Linked DNA regions of Oryctolagus cuniculus. The protein of the gene in region 1 purifies or fractionates together with the protein of each later gene. This does not show direct contact. Links are inferred from orthologs where the notes say so. Each region holds a gene or a part of one and is shown in the gene's direction. Other genes may lie near its edges.

What was found. The genes of interacting proteins can lie anywhere in the genome.
Region 2: the proteins of TMEM192 (region 1) and CTSD purify together in Homo sapiens (affinity purification with western blotting; 3 studies listed by BioGRID, with this or other methods). This does not show direct contact. The link is inferred for Oryctolagus cuniculus from reciprocal best matches to the Homo sapiens genes TMEM192 and CTSD.
Region 3: the proteins of TMEM192 (region 1) and LAMP1 purify together in Homo sapiens (affinity purification with mass spectrometry; 3 studies listed by BioGRID and IntAct, with this or other methods). This does not show direct contact. The link is inferred for Oryctolagus cuniculus from reciprocal best matches to the Homo sapiens genes TMEM192 and LAMP1.
Region 4: the proteins of TMEM192 (region 1) and LAMP2 purify together in Homo sapiens (affinity purification with western blotting; 5 studies listed by BioGRID and IntAct, with this or other methods). This does not show direct contact. The link is inferred for Oryctolagus cuniculus from reciprocal best matches to the Homo sapiens genes TMEM192 and LAMP2.

Annotation. Positions count from the first base shown.
Region 1 is NC_091439.1:131,731,259-131,736,320, forward strand, and holds the start of TMEM192 (transmembrane protein 192), read left to right. Parts: upstream 1-1,847; 5' UTR 1,848-1,978; coding exon 1,979-2,005; intron 2,006-5,062.
Region 2 is NC_091432.1:1,678,912-1,683,731, forward strand, and holds the start of CTSD (cathepsin D), read left to right. Parts: upstream 1-1,879; 5' UTR 1,880-1,993; coding exon 1,994-2,061; intron 2,062-3,648; coding exon 3,649-3,835; intron 3,836-4,820. UniProt on the Homo sapiens protein: Acid protease active in intracellular protein breakdown. Plays a role in APP processing following cleavage and activation by ADAM30 which leads to APP degradation.
Region 3 is NC_091440.1:680,539-685,427, reverse strand, and holds the start of LAMP1 (lysosome-associated membrane glycoprotein 1), read left to right. Parts: upstream 1-1,948; 5' UTR 1,949-2,151; coding exon 2,152-2,203; intron 2,204-4,889. UniProt on the Homo sapiens protein: Lysosomal membrane glycoprotein which plays an important role in lysosome biogenesis, lysosomal pH regulation, autophagy and cholesterol homeostasis.
Region 4 is NC_091453.1:98,203,000-98,207,947, reverse strand, and holds the start of LAMP2 (lysosome-associated membrane glycoprotein 2), read left to right. Parts: upstream 1-2,007; 5' UTR 2,008-2,103; coding exon 2,104-2,302; intron 2,303-4,948. UniProt on the Homo sapiens protein: Lysosomal membrane glycoprotein which plays an important role in lysosome biogenesis, lysosomal pH regulation and autophagy.

The DNA of each region.
Region 1 (5,062 bases):
TCATTCTCACCCCAGGCAAGCATGGAAACCAGAATTCCTCTCCCAAGGCATTAAAGAACTACTTTCCCCCAAATCCAGCCATAGACCTCAGAATACATAATGCAAAACTCCCTTTCTGTGTAAGAGCTGGACATAAGGAATTGTCTGACCTAGCTGGTCATAACATCCCCACTCCAGAAAGGATTCTGTCCCCCACGGGGAAGGAAGGAATGTTGCAGAGAGGCCAAGAATCAGAGCAGACAGGCCCAGCTGCCTCCTCAGTCTGTTTCCAGTAGATCATACTCTTCTGTCCAATAGTTCTACAGGCTGTTCATTCTAGAACCCTTTGCTCTGTGTGCTTGATTCCTCATTTCTGGAGGCTTCTGTGTCCTGTAAAACTTATATTGAAATGTTAAGCTTGGGGGATTGGCGCTGTGTTGCACCAAGTTAAACCTCCGCTTGCAGTGCCGGCATCCCATATGGGTGCCAGTTCGAGTCCTGGCTGCTCCACTTGGGATCCTGTTCTCTGCTATGGCCCCGGGAGAGTAGCAGAGGGGAGCCCAAGTATTTGGGCCCCTGCATCCACATGGGAGACCCAAAAGAAGCTCCTGGCTCCTGGCTTTGGCCTGGCCCAGCCCCAGTAGTTTGACCCATTTGGGAAGTGAACCAGTAGATGGAAGATTCTCTCCCTGCCTTCTCTCTTTTCTCTGTATCTCTGCCTTTCAAATAAATAAATCTTTAAAAAAATTTTTGTCATCCTTTCCTTTAGCTAACCTGTCTTTTGCTAGAGGACTTTCAGCTGTGATCATGGGAAGAGATAGTATCGCTACAGGGACAGTTTGAAAAACATTGGCCTAGAGTAGTTAGTAAACATACAATTATAATACTATGCTATGATGGTAGTAAACATAGTATTATGAGTTTTCTTAGGTGTGTAATGATTGTCTTGATGAAGGAACTATCCTTACTTTTAGGCAACGGAGTATAGCGTTTCATATTGTCCTCAACGTTTACATGGTTCAGTTACACACACACACAGCAGTTTTGGTATGATATTAACAACTGATAAATTCACATAAGGGGCACATCCACGGATTTCAGGGTACTAGTATTTCAGCATTGCTATAGCCTTGACAATTTTCCAAATATGGAGGGGAAATGCGTATCTAGAAACTTGAGAAAAAATTCACAGAATCTCGGGACTGAGACACCTTCGGACCACGTGGAGTCCGACACCGTCCTTGCCTTTGCTGACATTTGCGTGGTTTCACCACGTAATGTTTTACGTGTTTTCATGTTTCCCCAGCCTTGCAAACAGGACCCCAGTACACGCCATATGCAAATAAGCATTCATCCGGTTGTGGGGGGAGGGGTGGCACTGACAGAAAATTTCACTTTCCTTTTCTGACTACATTTTAATTATAATGTATTATCAGATAATTCCCCAGCCTTCTCTGTTAATTCCTTTAACAAAGGAGCAAAAAAATCCAAAAATTTGTTTCCCACGGTGCCTATTCCGCACACCGATCGTGGTGTGACCCTGTGTAGGACGCTGGTGAAGTTAAACCACTCAGACGCCAGGTAAATCAGGTTTGTTCCGTCCCTCTCCGGGTGGGGTGGGATTTTACCACGGGGTCTCCCTCAGCACAGAGCAAACACCTTACCGCAAAGGGTTCAACTGGCGGACCAGCCACGCAAGCACGCCCGAGCGCGGCCGAGAGCTGACAGAGACGCGGCGGCGCGAAGCGGGAGCCCGCGCTCTCCGGGCGCCGCTCAGAGCCCGGGGCTTGGGCGAGGCCCGCCCCTCCTTCCGCCCCGGCCAATCGGGAGCGAGGGGAGGCGGGGCCCGGGCCTGAGGGGCGGGGCGGGCGGAGAAGGGGGCGTGTCCGCGGGGAGGGCCCGCCGGTCCCTGAAGGTGGAGACTCGTCCTGGGCCGGCGGCGGCCGGGCGCAGGTGGGCAGGCCGGGCTGGCCCGGGCTCCGGTCTCGGGCGTCGGGAGATGGCAGCGGGGGCCCGGACGGAGGACGTGAGTGCGCGGAAGGGGAGGTGGTGGGCGCTGCCTCCGGAATCCCGTTCTTCCTGTGCTGGGGCGCGAGGGGCGGAGACTGGGGGTGCGGCGCGGCCCAGGGCGCGGGGCTGGTTGCGGGCGGCCCTGGAGGCCGAGTGCTGCAGGCTGCCGGCTTCTCCCGCGGGAGGCCGGGTGGGCTTCGGGGGGCGGCCGCCCCAGGCTGGCGCGCAGCCCACGTGCGGCGCGCGTCCGTGGCCCCGGAACTGCGCGCTTCACGTGACGCGCGTCTGGCCCGGGCGCCCTGCGTCCCCGCGCGTGTCTGGGCGCCGCGCTGTCCCCCTGGGCACGCAGAGGGGCCCGGGTCCCCGCCGGCAGGGCCCCTGAACAGGCTGCGGCAGGTCGCGGCGTCCCGTGGGCAGCCCTGGACCTGTCGCTGTCATAGCCCGGAAACCCCCATTGGAGGAAAACAGTGTCACGTGCTGTTTTTCTATGTAAGCATGGTAGCATGAGAAGGGTCTCAAATCTTCGATCCAAGGCAGAGGACGTAAAATCCCTGTGCGTATAGTGCAAAATTGCAGAAGTCTTACTTGCCTGAGTTTATACGAAGACTGTTTATAATTATTAACTGGGTTGCCCATTACACATAATGAAATGCTTGCTCTCTTCGGAACGCAAAGATGGCAGGTACATTAAAGCGCTTGCTTGGGTTAATAAACAAATAGGAATATTGCTATGATCCTTTCACTGAATGGAGCACATTGGGAAAGGCGAAAGACATGGGAACCCTGGTTCCAGTGCTGCAAGACCTTAGGTTGTAGTACAAATAGTGACCATAGTTAAATCATCTTGACAAAATAGAGACCAATTCCTAATGATATGACTAAAAATTTTAGTTCTTTTCTAGCTGAGAAAACAGAAAGCTAATGGTAAAACCTGAAAGTAGATTGGAGACTTGTAGTTAAAGCAGAATCCCTGGTGAATTTTTAAAAAATGTTATTTTTCACTTTTATTTGAAAGGCAGAGATTCAGAGAGAGAGAGGCAGAGAAAGATCTTTCAACTGCTGGTTCACTTTTCAAATGCTTATAGCAACCAAGGATGGGCCAGGCCAAAGCCAGGACCCCAGAGCTGGGTCTCTCACAGCTGGGTCCCCCACACGTGTGGGAGGACCGCAAGTACTGAGCCATCACCTGCTCTCCTAGGATGTGCATTTGCAGGAAACTGAATCAGAAGCTTAGGAGCCAGGACTGGAACCAGGCACTCCTGTGTGGGATGCAGGTGCCCAAGCAGCTGCTTAACCGTAGTGCTAAATGGCCACCACTTTTTGTAAACGTCTAGGGATGTGATTTTTTTTTTTTAAGATTTATTTATTTATTTGAAAGGCACAGCAAGAGAGAGAGAGAGAGAGAGAGAGAGAGAGAGAGAGAGGGGGAATCTTCCATATCCTGGTTAACTCTCCAAATGGCCACAAGAGCCAAGTCTAGGCCAGGATGAAGCCAGAACTTTATCCTGCTCTCCCACAGGGGTGGTTTCCAGGCCCACTAGCAGGAAACTGAATCAGAAGCAGAGAAAACAGGCACTCTAAAAATATGGGATGTGGGTATCCTAAGCAGTGACTTTAAGTGTGGTGCCCAGTGCCTGCCCCTGTTTATGAATTCTTCAGGATGAGATTAATGAACTGACAATTTATGGAAAAATTGGATATCTAAGAGGAAAATGAGTCTTAGAAAAACACATTAAATGCATCTTGGTTGGGTGCTGGCTGCTCCAGAGATCTTGGGTCTGTGACTTTCGGTTTCAGGATGAGTACAGACCTACCAATCTCCATTTCACCTAGCAATTGTTTCACCAACAGTTATGTAACTATATCTCTTTAGCTCTAAGTCACTCTTTTTGGTAATTATTTATTTTCAATTGAGAAAATGGAAAGACTGTAGGTTAGTTAGGGTTTATTGTTTGCAAACAGTGAAACCACCTATGGCTAATTTAAGACAGGGATTTATTTGGAAAGATATAGGGTGAATGACCAGCAGGGTCTCTGAAATGAACCATAGTCAGCTCAAGGGGTCTAAGTTACAGGAGTTCTTTTAGGGCCTGCCGCAGAATAAATGTGCAACAACCGTAGACTTTGCTGCCCAGAAAGAGTTGGATTGACCCAGCTGCTGTTTGCTCCATGACCACCCCCGGGCCTGCAGAGGGTGAAGAGTCCTGAAGATGTTCCCACTAAGACTTAAGGCAAAGGTACACAGTGGACAGGAACAAGAGATGTCCTTTACAGGTGGTAATGGAATTGTTAATACTGGCCATGAAGAAATATTTGATTTCAGGAATCCTTGTCCCCTCCTCTTTCCCTTGCACATAGTGGGTTCACAGAATGATTGGTCCTGGGAGTATGGTCCTGCTTCATACTTCCTGTTGGAGCCGCTGGACAGTCAGTGTGTGAGTATTTGATACACAATCCAATCATTACAGGTCCTAACTGCTTCAGGAGAATCAAGATATACACATAAAGAAGAAAGCAATACAAGGCAGCATAAGAAATACTGCTAACGAATATTATGAGTACTGTGTTTTACAGTAGTTTAAAGCAGAGAAAAGAAATACTTTAGGACAGATTTTTGTGGAGAACTAGACTGTGAACAATTAATTGAATTCTAAGAAAGATAAAAGAAAGTGGAAGATTTATGGGGCACTATAGGAAGCCTGTATGGGTGAAGGTTGTGGCTGGTGCATAGAAGTTGATTACTGTCCTGCAGTTGAGATCTCAATGTTGGCTTTGTTTAAATTTCTCTGATCCCAAGTAGTCGAGAAGTTGGGCAATCTTTTATTCAGTCAGCACGCATACTGGACTCCTGCAGTGTGTCAGGTGGTAAAGGTGCCAGCCAGTGCTTAGTACTGAAGTTGTGATTGAGATGTACAAGGATGCAGTGGGTACTTCTGTTCCCATCCAAGGTGAAGGACCAGGGACCAGGGACCAGATCTACCCTTGTGCCAGAAACCACCAGAAACCAGATAAAACAGATGACCCACGCTTTTTGAGGTACTGGCATCAGGCAGTGAGGAACTGGGACCTCAGA
Region 2 (4,820 bases), on another chromosome or scaffold:
TCCCCGTCCCCTGCTTCCTGGACGCGCCCAACGGCCAGGAGAGGTCTGGGGTGGAAAGCACATGGGCACCGGCCAGGCCAGCAGGAGCCCTGGCCAGCAGAGGCCGGGCCAGAGCCCAGGCCTGCCCCACACCTGCGCTGTGCACCACACAGCCCCACCCCTTCTCCCCAGCACCCCCACGGCTGCAATGCTCCCTACCCCGTGAGCTCCAGGCCCCGGCCTGGCTCAGCCCTGGCTTTTGAAGAATGAACCAGCAGATGGAAGATTTCTCTCTGTTTCTCCATCTGCCTTTCTAGTCAAATAAAAAAAAAAAAAATCCCTTAAAAAGAAGAGAGGGGGAGGTAGGCGCCCTCAGCTGAGGAGCCCCGCAGGCAGGCCTGAGGCGACCAGCGGCCCCGGGTCAGCTCGGCCGGGGCAGGGGGCTGCAGCCGGCAGGGAGACCGGTGGGCTCCCGTGTCTCTGTCCTCAGCGGGCAGGGAGACGGGTGGGCTCCCGTGTCTCTGTCCTCAGCGGGCAGGGAGACGGGTGGGCTCCCGTGTCTCTGTCCTCAGCGGGCAGGGAGACGGGTGGGCTCCCGTGTCTCTGTCCTCAGCGGGCAGGGAGACGGGTGGGCTCCCGTGTCTCTGGCTCCTGGAGGCGCGGCTGCAGCTCAGCCCTGGGTCATGGGGGTCCCAGCCCAGGCCTGGACAGGGCGGGCTCTGCCCAGGCAGCCGGAGGTCAGCGGTCAGAAGCCACCTCTGCCTCCTGGAGCCCAGGGCCTCAGTTGCTCTGGGACCTGGAGCACCCAGGCTTTCAGGCCTCCCAGAATCCTCCAGGCTCGGCCCCGGCTGCCGGGGAAGCAGGCTGATGATTCTAGTGAGTGGACTAGCAGACTGCACTGGTGGGAACCCACCCCCCCACCGCCCCCAGCAGCCGGCCGCAGCCCCCAGGGGCCAGGCGGAGCTCCCGGCCGGCCGGACATCGGCCCACTCCTGGAAGGGCCTCCCAGCCACTGTCCCGCGGCGCCTCTGCCCAGAACGCCTTGGGTGGGGCGGCCACAGCTCAGGGTCTGCTGCCTCACGGGTGAGCGCCTGAGCACCCGGGCACCTGCCTTGCTTTCTCGGAGGCACGTGACAAACCCACGCCGGTCCCCCTCCCCAGACGGCACCTTCCGCCACTGCCCAGCTGGCCTCCTGAGGACACTGTCATCCCCTGCCAGCTCCCCGGGCAGGTCTGGCACTCCCGCGGCTCAGGCAGGGAGGTACCGGGCCTCGCTCCGTTCCCAACACCAGGGAAGGAGTGGCCAGCATGGCCTGAGGGTAGCGCCGAGGGCCCCTGGCCCAGGGCACCCTGCAAACAGATCCTGGGGTCCCCCCCACCCCCGCCCCCGCCCGGCGCTGGGAGACCTGACCCCTTCTCTGGTTTTGTTCAGCCATCCTTTGAATGCCGGGGTGTCGAGAACAGGGCGCGGGTTACAGACTGGACGGACAGGGAGGAGGGCTCAGGACACCGCGCAGCCCCGCGAGGAGCTGCTCCCGGGAGGGGCTGGGCCAGGGTGGCCGGGATGGCGGAGGCACCGGGATGCTCCAGGGCACCTTGGAGCCCCTCAGCGCCAGGCAAGACGTGCGCACGCGCGCGAGGAGCAGGTGCAGGCGCTGCGGCGGGGGAGGGGGGGCTTCCCACGCCCGCGCGTGCCGGCCCCGGCGGCAGGCGGGGGCGCTCGGTCCGTAGAGGGCCTCTAGGGTGAGTCTGGCTGGGCCCCCGAGAGCCCGGACAGGCGCGGCGGCGGGCGCGCTCCCGAGGGCCGTGTGCGGGCACGGACGGGGCGCGCCTGCGCCGGGCTGGCGGGGGCGGGAGAGATGGGCGGGAGGGACCGGGTCGCCCCGCCCCGCGCACGCCGGCCGCGGCCACGTGACCAGCCCGGGGGCAAACAAGCGGTCAGCTGACCAGGCCTGACTGCGCCGTCATCCCGGCTATAAGCGCGCGACCTCGCTGCTCCTGGGCCACCGCCGCCATGCAGCCCCCCAGCCTCCTGCTGCTCGCCCTCGGCCTCCTGGCCGCGTCGGCTACCGCGATCATCAGGTGAGGCCCCGGGTCCCAGGAGCGCGCTCAGGGCGCCGCGGGGGGAGGGGGCGCGGCTCTGGGGTCCCCGCGCCCTGGTGGTCTCCCGCGCGGGAATGCACCAGCGCCTGCGGGCTCCGTAGGTGCAGGGGTCGCGCTCAGCCCTCGCCGGACGCCCTAACCCTCCTGCCACCCCTCCGTCTTGGGGGGTTCAGCAGCCCGGAGCGCAGCGCTGCCCCAGGGTGACAGGTGGGGCGGAGCTGCGCTGCTTCGGGTCAGGTGTGGACTCACCTGGGAAGGCGGCACCGGCAGGTGCAAGCCCTGGAGCCCCTGAGCCCGGGGAAGACGCTCCGGCAGCTTCCCCCAGGGGACCTTACCCAGCCCTGGGAGTCCCACAGGTGCCAGAGAGTGGAGAGGTCCCGGGGCGTGGCCCAGCCTGCCCACCCCGGGACTGGGGCTCTGTCGAGAGCCCTGGGGCCCAGGGACCTGTCCCCTGTGCTGGGGGCATTGGGCCTGTTGCACAGGACATTGGAGTGAGCTCCAAGGTGGCGGGCTGGGCGGGCTGGGGGCAGGCTGCAGCCTTGGGGGGGGGGGGTAGGCTCCATGGCAGCCACTGTGGGGCAGCAGGCACGGCGCCCGCCTGCCTGCCTGGGCCTTGCCTGCCCCACCCACAGCCTCCGCTCTGCCAGAAGGGCAGAGACTGTAGTAGGGAAGGGAGCCCAGGACTTCCTGGGGAGCCCGGCAGTTGAGGGAGAGGCCCACACACCTGACCCAGGTCCTGTGGGACTCAGGGCACCTGTCTCCTTGATCCCTGGCCACGCCCAGGACTCCCAGCCTACCCAGTCTTGGGCAACTGGGAGCATGCCCTTGGCGTGCCGGGAATAGCCAGCTGTGACCTTGGGCTCAACGACGACACCTCATCTGAGTGATTAGGAGCTGGGCGAGTGGGGAGTGAGCCCAGACACAGAGTGGGCGGGGCCCTGGGCATCAGAGCCCGCGGGACACCTGCCCTGGGCCTGGGGCGCTCTCCTGCACAGCAGTGCCCAAGGCCTCACCCCAAGCAGGGGCACGGGGGGTGTGTTAGGAGGAGGCCCAGAACCCCCCAGTGCCCCATAGTGGGGTGGGGGCCCCTGGGGCAGTCAGGGTTCAGGGCAGGGAGCTAGCGTTGAAGAGACCCCTCCGATGGCGGACAGGCAGGTGCAGGGAGGAGTGGCTGGGAGGCCAGGTACAGTGCGGTGAGGAGCCCTGCACGCTGCTGGCCACCATCCGGGCAGAGCCAGGAGCAGGTGCAGGGGAGGGTGGAGACTGAAGGGGTGAGGGCGGCACAGGCAGGCGGGTGGGCACAGCGGCCCCTGGTTTGCATGTGGGCTCCCCGAGGGCTGGGTGAGTGAGGCCTCCTGGGCTGGGGGCAGAGGGAGCTGGACCCCCAGGTGCCCGTGGCAGTTTCGTGCTGGCCATGCCTTAGACCCACCCAGAGGGTGGCTGGTGAGGGTCTCGGGCCCCGGGACGGCTGCCCTCGCCCAGCTGCGGGTCCCGGGGTGGGAGGGAGAGGCTGTGGCGGCCAGAGCCCCGCCCTGGCACAGCCCCCACCGCCGTGTGTCTGCACAGGATTCCGCTGCACAAGTTCACCTCCATCCGGCGGACCATGTCGGAGGCCTGGGGGCCCGTGGAGGACCTAATTGCTCAGGGCCCCGTGGAGGAGCCAGGAGCTCAGGGCCCCCTGTCCAAGTACTCCCAGGAGGCGCCCGTGGGGACCAAGCAGCCCGTGCCCGAGATCCTGAGAAACTACATGGATGTGAGTGTGGGCGGGGCCTGGCCGCAGGCAGGGAGGCGGTGGGATCGCACACGTGCTGCTGGTGGGGGCCCGGCCCTGCACCTGGCTCCCCTGCCCCAGGCTCCCTGGGTCTCCAAGCCTGCGGGGGCCACTTGCCCCCACTGGGGCTGAGACAGCACCTCGGTGGTGCCGCCCCTGTGTGTCCCCAGCTCCAAGCCCCTGCTCGTGGCTGAGCCGATGGCTGGTCCTCACGGCCACAGTCCCCTGGCCCTGAGCTTTGGGTGGGCGACCCTGATCCTGGGCCGTCAGGGTCTGCCCTGCAGCCCCGTCACCTGCCTGTCCTGCCGAGAGGCCTGGGTGACGCCGGGGACACTCTCTGTCCCCTCACGCTCTTCAGCAGCCCCCATGGTACCCCCTGCTCCTTCAAGGGGAAGCTGGCTCAGAGGTGGAACATTCCAGAAGCTACACACACAGCAAGCTGGGACCTGGTCGGCCTGGTCCTAGCTCTATGGGGGAGAGGTTCTGGGCCAGAGCTGCCCCCAGCCTCAAAGACTCCCTCCCTGCTGCCCAGGCTGGGCTCTGGCCTGAGGGCTGGGAGGCGGGGCTGTGCCCTGTGTCCTGCTTGGCCTGGGTCCTGGCCGGGACAGGAAGCTCGAGACTTGGGCATGTGACTGACTGGGGGGAGCGGGGACCCTGCTGACCGGTCCCCTGTCTTCTCTGCACATGGACACTGCTGAGTCATCCCACCACGTGGTGCCTTCCTGTCGGTCATGAGTCAGCAGTCCAGTGGCCCCGGGGCGGGGGCAGAGGGGACAGGGGGCTGGAATCCCACAGCAGGGGAAGCCCTCGGGACCCCAGGATCAGAGGGTTCATGATGTCTTGTGTTTGCCTGACCCTAAGGCAGCCTCGCTGGCTGCCCCCGTTGACAGATGGGGAAACTGAGGCCCAGCACAGCCAGGGCTGTTTCGTCCTCCACGCTGTGCTTGGTTCCCTGGCTGCCCCGGGG
Region 3 (4,889 bases), on another chromosome or scaffold:
GCCCTGGCAGTATGGCAGGACTAAGTCTTTCTCCGACCTGTCACGTCTTCCTTTCAGTGACGGACCTGCCAACGGCCACCGTCTGCAAGTGTGTGTACCTGTGCACCCTGGAAAACACAAGGTCGTCTCAGAACCGCTCACCCACCCCCGAGACACGCACCCGTCAGCGGTGCTGCACGAGCCCTTCCGCCTGGAGTCCTACCACACGACAGACAGAAACCGGGCTGTGCTCTCCCAAAACGGCCTCGCTGACAAAACCGTTCGAGCTACAGAGAAGCAGAGCTGCCCTCTCGCTTTTCAGCCTTTAGACAGAACTGTGCCTTTCCACACACGCTGGCTGCAAAGCAGCCCCGCGCCCTCTTCACTTTCCCTCCTGGGTGCCCGCCTGCGCCCCTTGGTCCTGCCCTCCGCCCGGGGCCACTGTGCCGAGTGCCGCGTGCTGCGAGACGCAGGGCTCCCGAGCACGCAGGTGTCGCAGGACAGACGCACAGACGCGCCCAGCAGCACTTCTTACAGCCCTGGCGAAAGGCAGACACGCGGCCTCACTGTGCAGGGCTCCCCGGTTAGGTGCGATGATGGCGGTGAGGTCCCACAGGAAGCCGGCACACTGTGCCTAGACGATGGCGGTGAGGTCCCACAGGAAGCCGGCACACTGTGCCTAGACGATGGCGGTGAGGTCCCACAGGAAGCCGGCACACTGTGCCTAGCAGGGTCAGCCTGGGCGTGCGGGGCTGCCTCACGTCCGGGCTGCTCCACTTCTGCTCCAGCTCTCTGCTGTGGCCTGGGAAACAGGCAGTAGAAGATGGACCAAGTGCTGGGGCCCCTGCACCCACGAGGGAGACCTGCAGAAGCTCCTGGCTCCTGGCTTTGCATTGGCCCAGCTCCGGCCACTGTAGCCATCTGGGAGTGAACCAGCAAATGGGAGACCTCTCTCTCTGTAAGTCCGCCTCTCAAATAAGTAAACCAAAAAAATAAATAAAAAAAAGAAAGTGATACACATACAAGAAAAGTAGTGCCTGGACCTTGCTTCACAGCATCCAGAAAGCACAGGTGCACACCAGCAGCCGGCGGCACACTGGGCCCCTTCCACTGGATCTTTATTTTTTAAAGTACATTTTGGTAAAACAAACATAAGTTACAACTCTATGCAAAATTACTGCCTCTGTTTACCATTTCTCACGGAGAACCGTAATTTAGAGCGAAAGAGAGGGGAGTGTGTATCCCAGGTTCGCTACCTGATTCAGGCGCCGAGAGACAGGCAGAGGACGGGGTGGGGGGAGAGGGGGACAGGGAGGGGGACCGTGCCTCTGTGCGGGGGTCGCTCCCACAAGTGCCTGCGGCAGGTGGGACGGCCCCAGCGGCCGGAGCCCCAGTCCCCGAGCCATCTCCCGCGCCTCCCCGGAGTGATCACAGCGACTCGCGGGCTGAGCCGGAGGCGGGACCCGCGCCCGCGGCCGCCGAGCCCTGGCTGAGCCCTGCCTCTCCCCTTAGCGCGCCCGGCGCGGTGCTGGCCGCGCGGAGGAAGCAACGACGGCAGAGGGGCAGCCGCGGGCCTGAGGCCGCACCGAGCGCGGCAGCGGCGCCCGCAGCACGCAGGGTCCCCCTCCCCGCGCGCACGCCCCCCGAGTGCGTTCTGCTCGCGCGGCGGGCGGCAGCCGCACACACCCGCCCGCCCGCCCGCGCGCTTCCGCTTTCCCGGCCCTCACTTTCCCCCGCCGCGGCCTTTCTCCTTCCTCTTCCCCGGAGCCACCGCACTTTCCGTTTCGCGCGGAGACCCCCGGAGCCCGGGGCGGGCCGGGGAGGAGGGGGCGCGGCCGGTCACGTGGCCCCACAGTCACGTGCCGGGCCAGGTCACGCGCGCAGACGGCGGGGGACGTCCGGGAGACCCGGCCCCTGCGGGCGTCGAGCCCCGGCGCACGACGGGCGCGCTCTCGCGAGATCCGCGGCTCACGTGACGGCGGGCGCGGCGCGGGTCACGTGACAGGCGCTGCCGGCCGTGGGGTCTCCTTGGTGCCGGCGCCGCAGCTGTCGGGCCCGTCGAGTCGGTGGTCGTCGCCGCCCCTCCCGCAGTCTCCACGCCCGCAGCCGAGGCCCAACCGACGCCGCCCGGCCCGCGCCAGGCTCCCAACACCGGCTCGGCCGCCTCGCGCCATGGAGGCCCCCGGCGGCGCCCGGCGACCGCTGCTTCTGCTGCTGCTGCTCGGTGAGGCCGCGGGAGGCGGCGGGACGGGGCCGCCGGGTCGGGGCGCGGGCGTCGCGGGGCGGGAGGAGCCCCCGCCGCGGCCCGGCTGCGCGCAGCCCGAGGTCGGACCGGCGACGAGTTCGGGGGGCGCCGTGGGCGGTGCCGCGGGGGGTCCGAGCCTGGCGCGGCGGGCGATCAGAGGGCCTGGCCCCGGCCCCGGCCCCCGGGCGGAGAGGTCGTGGCGGCCGTGCCCGCTCCGGGAAGCAGGGGTGAGGGCGGAGTGTGCGCCCGGACGCCCACCTGCCTCGGCCCCGGCCCGCAGACCCCCGCCCCAGTAACGTGCGGAGCTGGTCGCAGGGACCGGGAGAGGATGCGCGTGCGTCAGGTAGACGCGCACCTGCGCGTGAGCGCTGGGGGTGTTGGTGGAGTCCCCCCGAACCCCACAGTTCCGTCTGCGGATGGGTCTTGTCTTGCTAATTGAGCGAACGTATTCCAGGACTTGCATAAGCAGCCGCAAGAGACGCCCTGGCCGGGGCCGGGCGCCCGTGACCCTTGGCAGCAGGTGCGGTTAGTTAGACCAGCTCTCCCGCGTCGCAAAGCTTGCGTCACTCTTTGTAAGCACACCGCACCGGCCTTGGGATCAATAAAATGAAGATTCGTAACTTGTTAGTATTGGGGCAGCTTGGAGTACTGTGCCTGCGATTGGGCTCTTTCTTTCTCTCTCTCTTTTTTTTTTTTTGAGAGGCACAGACGGCAAGCCTCCAGTCTCTGGTTCACTCGCCAAATGGCTGCTGTGGCCCGAAGCTATGAACCCAAACCAGGTCTCCCACGTGGGTGGCAGGGACCCAAGTGCCCGGAGTCCTCGCTGCTGCCGCCCGGAGAGCGCCGTCCGGCAGAAGCTGGGGTGCAGCCAGCCGGCACCGAAGCCCAGCGTCTTTTGCTTTTTTTAACTGTTTGTTTACTTGAAAGGCAGAGGCGGAGCACTGGGATCCCCTGGTTCAGCCACCCGGGCCAGGCAGAAGCCTCGAACCTGCAGCTCCATTCGGGCCTCCCGTGTGGGTGGCAGGGCCCTGGAAGCCCGGGCAGGGAGCTGGCTGGAAGCAGAGCGGCTTTCGGGTTTTGTATTCAAGTACAACCCAGCTCTTCAAAAGGTCTTTTACCAACTTGAATTCACGTCTGTCTAAAAAAAAAGTTTTAATGTAAAACACCAAAAGGCATGTTTTCATTACGAGAAACTGATTCTTCAGTTCCTGTTCTCATTAGTAATCTGGAGTTAAAGCTGTTCCAGTGTTCCGCAGACCTGGGGAGACTTGTATTTGACACGTAGGACTCGCAGCAGTCGTCTGACTTGTGGGCCACCGGGAGACCTGTTACTTAGGCACTGTGGAGAGTTTCGTGCGCATTACCGTTGCCCTGGGCCTGAGAGTCGCTCCTGAATTCTTCGCCAGGTTGCAGACCGGAGTGTTTTTGTGGACCTGTGGCTTTGAGTTTCTGTTTGTGGTAAAGTCTGCATGGTGGGCCCCTCTCTGTGCATACCAGGAAGTGTAGCGTGTGCTCTGTGGTCTCTGTCGGCTGTACTGCGACTGCTCCTGCCCGGGCCTCTGCCTCCCCCACCCGAGGCCCGGCCCTGCCCGACAGCTCGCCCTGCTTGGTACCGTGTGAGGAGATGCCCGGTCTTCACGGCCCCGCCCTCAGCACGAGGCAGCTCTGTAGGGGTGTGTGTGTGTGTGTGCGTGTGCGCACATGCAGGGCCTCCAGAGGCTGCGAGCCCGTGTGCGGGGTCGGACTTGGTCTTTCTCTCCCTTCAATCTCCATAGATGATTGTGCATTTCATTGATTACCAGGGAAGCCCCTGGGCTTGAGGAATCTAGATGGTACAGGTGAGGGTGTGCTTAGGGAAGCTGGCGCTTCGAAGGGTAGACTTCAGATAGCAGCCTTTTTCATGTCAAAGCCTGTGTTCCATAATTTTAAAAATTATGTGAAAGGCAGCGAGGCAGAACTCCCATATGCTGGTTCACTCCCCCAACGCCCTGACCAGTCAGGGCTGGGCTGGGCCAAAGCTAGGACCCAGCTAAGTCCAGGTCTCCCACGTGGGTGGCAGGAACCCAGCCACTTCTGAGCCATCACTGTGCCTCCTGTGGGACACATGAGCTGGCAGCTGGAATCAGGTGGGGCTGAGTATCTAACCCAGGTGGCTGTGCAGGTGGGATGCAGGCATCTGAACCCGTGGTAACCTCTAGACCAGACGCCAGCTCTCTGCCTCAGGAGTTCGCCGCTTTGAAGCCTGGTCCCTCCTCACCACGCCTGGAGGCGGTGTGGTCAGGCCTGGGCCAGGCAGAAGAACCCACTCCGGGCCGGGCTCGGGACCAGTCTCTGGGGTGTGACCTGGAGCAAGGGGTCAGCGTCTGTGCGCCTTGGTCTCCAGCTCTGCAGGAGGGAGTCTCGTCGTCAGGTTAGCACGGTAACTGACGGTAACAGGGCGGTGCCTGGCACACAGTAGGTGCCTTACAGTGCTCGCCGACTCAGACTGTGTCAGGTGCACCAAGTGCTGATGGATTGAGGGCTGGGGTTGCCGCAGGTCCAGGAGCACACGGTTGTTCAGGGTGGAGGAACCACCGAGAACCGAGGTCTGACTCAGAAGCGTGTGTGTTGCCCACAGCTGTGCTTGTCTCAGATTGGAATTTCTGCAAGTGGGAGTGTTGAAGGA
Region 4 (4,948 bases), on another chromosome or scaffold:
TCCCTAGCGCCAGTCCTGTCACTATTTCATTTTAAGATCAGAATAAAGAAACTGAGATGAAGTGACTTGACAAACATCAAAGTCTCACACCTTACTCCTCTGACAATTCAATGTTTTTTTTTTTTTTTTCCTACTGACCTCTTTTATCTCTTCTAGGATGTAGGGTTCTGCTGAACATTAAACATATGCAATTTATAGTTTAGGGAGAAGGGTCACAGTCTTTCAGTAAGGATTGGTGAGACAATTTTCTGAGGCTTCAACTCAATCGTGGTTTCTCTGAAAACCACTATACCCAGGATACATCTCCTGCCTATTCTTGATGGTGGGGCAGTCAAATTACATTTTACTATTGCAGTGACTAATACTGTAGTGTATATTAATCCTGTGTTGGGTACATCACTCATGACTTGTTTCACCTATTATAGAAGACATTCATCAACACGTGTTCTCACTTTCAGGAATTAATCAGATTAAAGCAAATGATAGTGAGGACAGACCAGTGGTTCTTAATATTTGAGTTGGCAAGGGGAGTAGAGTGGGGACTCAGAGGTTCCATTTCATAACTAGTGAAAACTATAAACTTCCCCAGGAAAATACACATATATAAATATTTCATGTAATTACTGAGGATTCATAACACTTTCTCCACCCTCAAAGGTCATTCATAAAAGATTAAGATATCCTGCACTAAATGATTCTGAAGTTCTATGTTAGTGTTTCTCAAAGTTTGATCCATGGACTCCAGCACCAGAATCACTTGGAATATTTGTTTACAAAAATAACAGATTTGTGGGATTGCCACAGATTTACCCTTTCAGAATTTTTGGAGAATGAGTTTCAGGAATATGTTTTTAAAATCCCCAGATGATTCTTTGGAAATTGATATTTGACAATCAATGCTTCATTCCAACTCGGGATTTTTGTGGGGTTTGAGTGCTTCTATCTATTGAATATTTTAGGTTTTGTCTGTTCATCTGTCAAGTACCAGTTTAGTATGAACTCATTAAAGTATATTTGTATAAGCATAGGAAAGACATCTGAAAGGATATGTGTGTGTGTGTGTGTGTGTGCTTGTGTATGTGTAATTTAGAAACAAATATATAAAGAATGCACACACACATATGAATGAAGGGGGAGCTTGAATTAAAAGATCATGTGCACTTTTTAAAAAAATTCATTTTATTTATTTGAAAGGCAGAATGACACAGAGAGAGAAGTCTTCCATTTGCTGGTTCACTCTCTAAGTGCCCACAACAGCTGGGGTGGGCTAGACTGAAGCCAGGAGTTAAGAGTTCATCTGGGTCTCCCACATGAATGGCAGAGGCCCAAGCACTCAAATCATTTTCCTCTGCCTTCCCTGGCACAGTAGCAGGGAGTTTCATTGGAAACGGAGCAGTGGAGAGGAGAACCAGCTATGGTCAGGTGGTGGAGTGGCATGCTGCACCTTGGCAAACCTGAACCTGTGCATTTTCCATGAGCTTTTTGAAGGCCCCTACTATAATGTTAACAGTGGTTCTCTTCGCACAGTGGGAACCTGGATGATAGTTATGTTTTCATCTTTATCCTTGTTTTATTTTTCTCATTTTTTTCTTCCTGTATTTAGTAAAGATACTTCCTGTTTTTGAGCTCAGTGTCCCAATCTGAGAAACAGGGTGTTGTTGTAACTAGGCGAACTTCAAGACCATGTCCTGCTCTGATGGTCAGTGATTTCACATTACCCCCAAGCTATCTGATCACCCTCTAGCTCTCTGGTCCTATCTAATAGCGTGAATTGCATTGGTAACAACAGCGTTTCGAGAATAATTTATTATTTTTATATGTTATGTTGAGATATGTAGGAACAGTTTTTTGACAGCAGTTATTTTCTTCTTCAAGGAGTCAGAACAGAAATAATCTACTGTCTGCAGCCCTCAAAAGTTCACTCTCTTTCCTTAGCCTGAGAAAATGCCGTCCACGCATCTCTCTTAGTAGCGTAGAAATGGTTGTGAACCAAAAAGCCAGGGCGTGGTCGCCCCGCCCACCGGCCCCTACATCACTATCCCTTTCGCTTTTTTCAAGCGCGGGGATTGGCTGAAAACAAGAAAGAACCCCGCCCCTGGTCTTATGACTCGCGCTGAAGCGGCGGCGACTCCTGGCTTTTGCTGCGCTGTGGTCAGTGGTCGGTGGTGCTCTTGCCGCAGCTGTAGCGAGTCTCTTCCTTTCTGTTGCCGCTGCTGCCGCCTCCTGCCCTCTGAAATCATGGTGCGCTCCTGTATTTTCTTGGTTCAGTGCTCGGGACTCGTTCTGCTCTGCCTGGGACTGGGTGAGTTGTTGGGCCCTCCTGATTAGTGTTCAGCCTGGGCCCGGGGCGCTGGTTCAAAGGCCACAACCTGAAAGACTGGTCCGGGAGAAGGCGGTTGAGAGGCTCCGCAGCTGACACTGGGCTGGGGTTGTTGTCCCGCGGAAGTGAGCAGTGACCTAGAGAAGGCCTGATCAAGAGATGGCAGGGAAGAAGCCACGGGGAGAGTAAGAAGGGGCAAGTACGGGGCGGGGGCGGGGAAGGGTGGACGCCGAGGGAGTCAGCAGGAAGCGTGAAGCGTAGCAGAGGTCGCATAAAGAGTGACTTGGGGAAGACCCTAAAGAAGATTTTGGGGGCGGCAGAGGTAATTAGGAGAGTCCCGATTTCCCTGGATCAGGCAAGAGTTTGGAAGTTGATGGAAAAACTATGGAGTGAGAAGGAAAATTGGTAGGGAAAGAGACTGCCTGTATGGAATAACTTGGGGGAAGAATGGGGGCTGGGAGCAGATAGGAGAGCCTTAGGGGCAGGGACAGGGTTGTGGGGTTTGTAAGTGGAAATTTATGGAGAAAGGGTGATTCAAGAGGTGAGGAATGATGCTGAATTTGAGTTTGGCAGTCGAAGTTTTCAGAGTGAAGGAACCTAAACTGGCTGAGGCAATTTTCAAGACACAACCTTTGGAAACCAATGGGGACTTTGGTGAGGAATGAATATCCATTGTGGAGGGGTTAAGGATGTCGGTGTTTATCGATTTTGCTACTTTCTCCCAGCCAGACCCTGACACCCACACCCGCAGCCAAAAAAAAAAAAAAAAATCCCGAATGTTTTAGGTGGGAGGGCCTTCCAGATGTGAGATTTGGGGGACTGGTTTTCTTCTTCCTTATGGCACAACTGGCCTGTTACCTCGTTTTTAGAAGGGGAAGGTGGGTAAGTTCGCAATTAGTGAGTTCTTACCGGGTCCCAAAATGGAAGTGTAGCTGATTGTGCTCTGCCAGGGTAGGCTGCGGGTTCCTGACGGCTTTAATGTATAAAGATGAACTTTGACCATTGTGTCTCTTCCTGACCTGATTCATCCTGTGCTTATTGCTACCCACAGGCTCTTGCTCTTTGTGACTTAATAAAAGAGCAGAAGAAACAGACCAGAGAGGGGAGGACACAGACATATTTGGGACCTGAGAAGGCAGTAGAAATATGCATATTGTCATTCGCATTTTAGTAGAATAAAATGAACATCATAGAACAGTGCGTTCTCAAGAAGAGGACATTTGGGAATATCTGGAAACATATTTGGTTGTCACAGCTGGGTGATAGTGGCATGTAGTGAGTAGAGGCCCAGGATGCTAGTCAACATTCCTACCAAGCACATGCTAGCCCCTCTCAACAAAGAATTAACTGCCTCAAATGCTAATAATGCCTGAGTTATCTAGTCCAGTGATTTGCAAGGGCCTTTTCAGGGGTTTGCCAATTCAGAACTTTTCAGAATACTACTAAGATATTTGTCCTTTTCTTGTCCTCTCACCAGTGTACAGTGGAGTTTTCTGGAGGCTAAATAGTGTGCGATGACATCACCACTCTGATGCCTCTGGTGTTCATGTGTTTTGTTAATTTCTTAATCTTAATTTCTGATATGGTAAATACTGATAGATACAACTCAGATAAGCCAAAGCTGTGTGAGGTCCTCTGTGGATAATAGAATAAAGGGATCCTGACACCAAAATGTTTGCAAGTCCCTGATCTATCCAGCTGTCCTTGGAGTGTAGAAAACCCTTGTACAGCACTTCTGAAAGGGGGCCATGAGGCTTTGCTTAAATACTTAATTCAAAGTCTTAACTGTACTGTGAAGCATTTGCTGATGGCTGACTGACCCTAAGACAGTCTTGTTTACAATAGAAAGCACCTTATCAGTGACTGGAACACATCTGACCAAGGCATCTGTTAATCAGGAGTTCTTTGCCAATTGAATCTGCACAAATACAACACAGTTATTGTTTAGAGAAAGTGAAAAAATAATAGTTGCCCTACTTGTTGCCTTTTATGCCATTTTTTTGTTTTTTAATGAAAGCTTTTTTTTAAAATGAAATCAGTGTTTGCTCATTGCAGAAATAAATAGATAAAAAAGAAGCTCAGGAAAGAACGCATCAGTTCATCTGCTAGTTTGCCGTTTATTAATTGGGGCTAACCAAATTCACCTCCTGAAAGATTTCCAAGATTTATGCCCCCAGTCTCCAAGTTTAGAACAGAATTTGGAGGAGTAAAAATTAATAATATACCTAAATCTGATATTTAACAGGTTCCGGGATGCAATTAGAACAACCTTTCTATATAGCTGCTTCTTTGAACAGTTCTAGGTGCAGTGTGAACTAAGTCTTCCCATGTGGTTTTTTTTCCTAAGAATTTAGCAGGTTTGTAGTTGCTTGGTGGGCTTTGCATATAACCTTTCTTTATAAAAATAGATACCAAGTATAGATTTTTGAAAACTCAGTAAATATTTGTAAGGTATGTACCATGTACCTAGTACTGTGCCTGCGTGTTGTAGAGGCTACTAGTAAAGGAAGAACTATCCTGAATTTATGGTTTCACTAACATTAGGGCTGTAGCTGTGCCAGTTTCTCTTTATAACCATCCCAGCTCCACTGTTACCCTTTAAAAAGTGGTTGCTTTATAGCAAATATA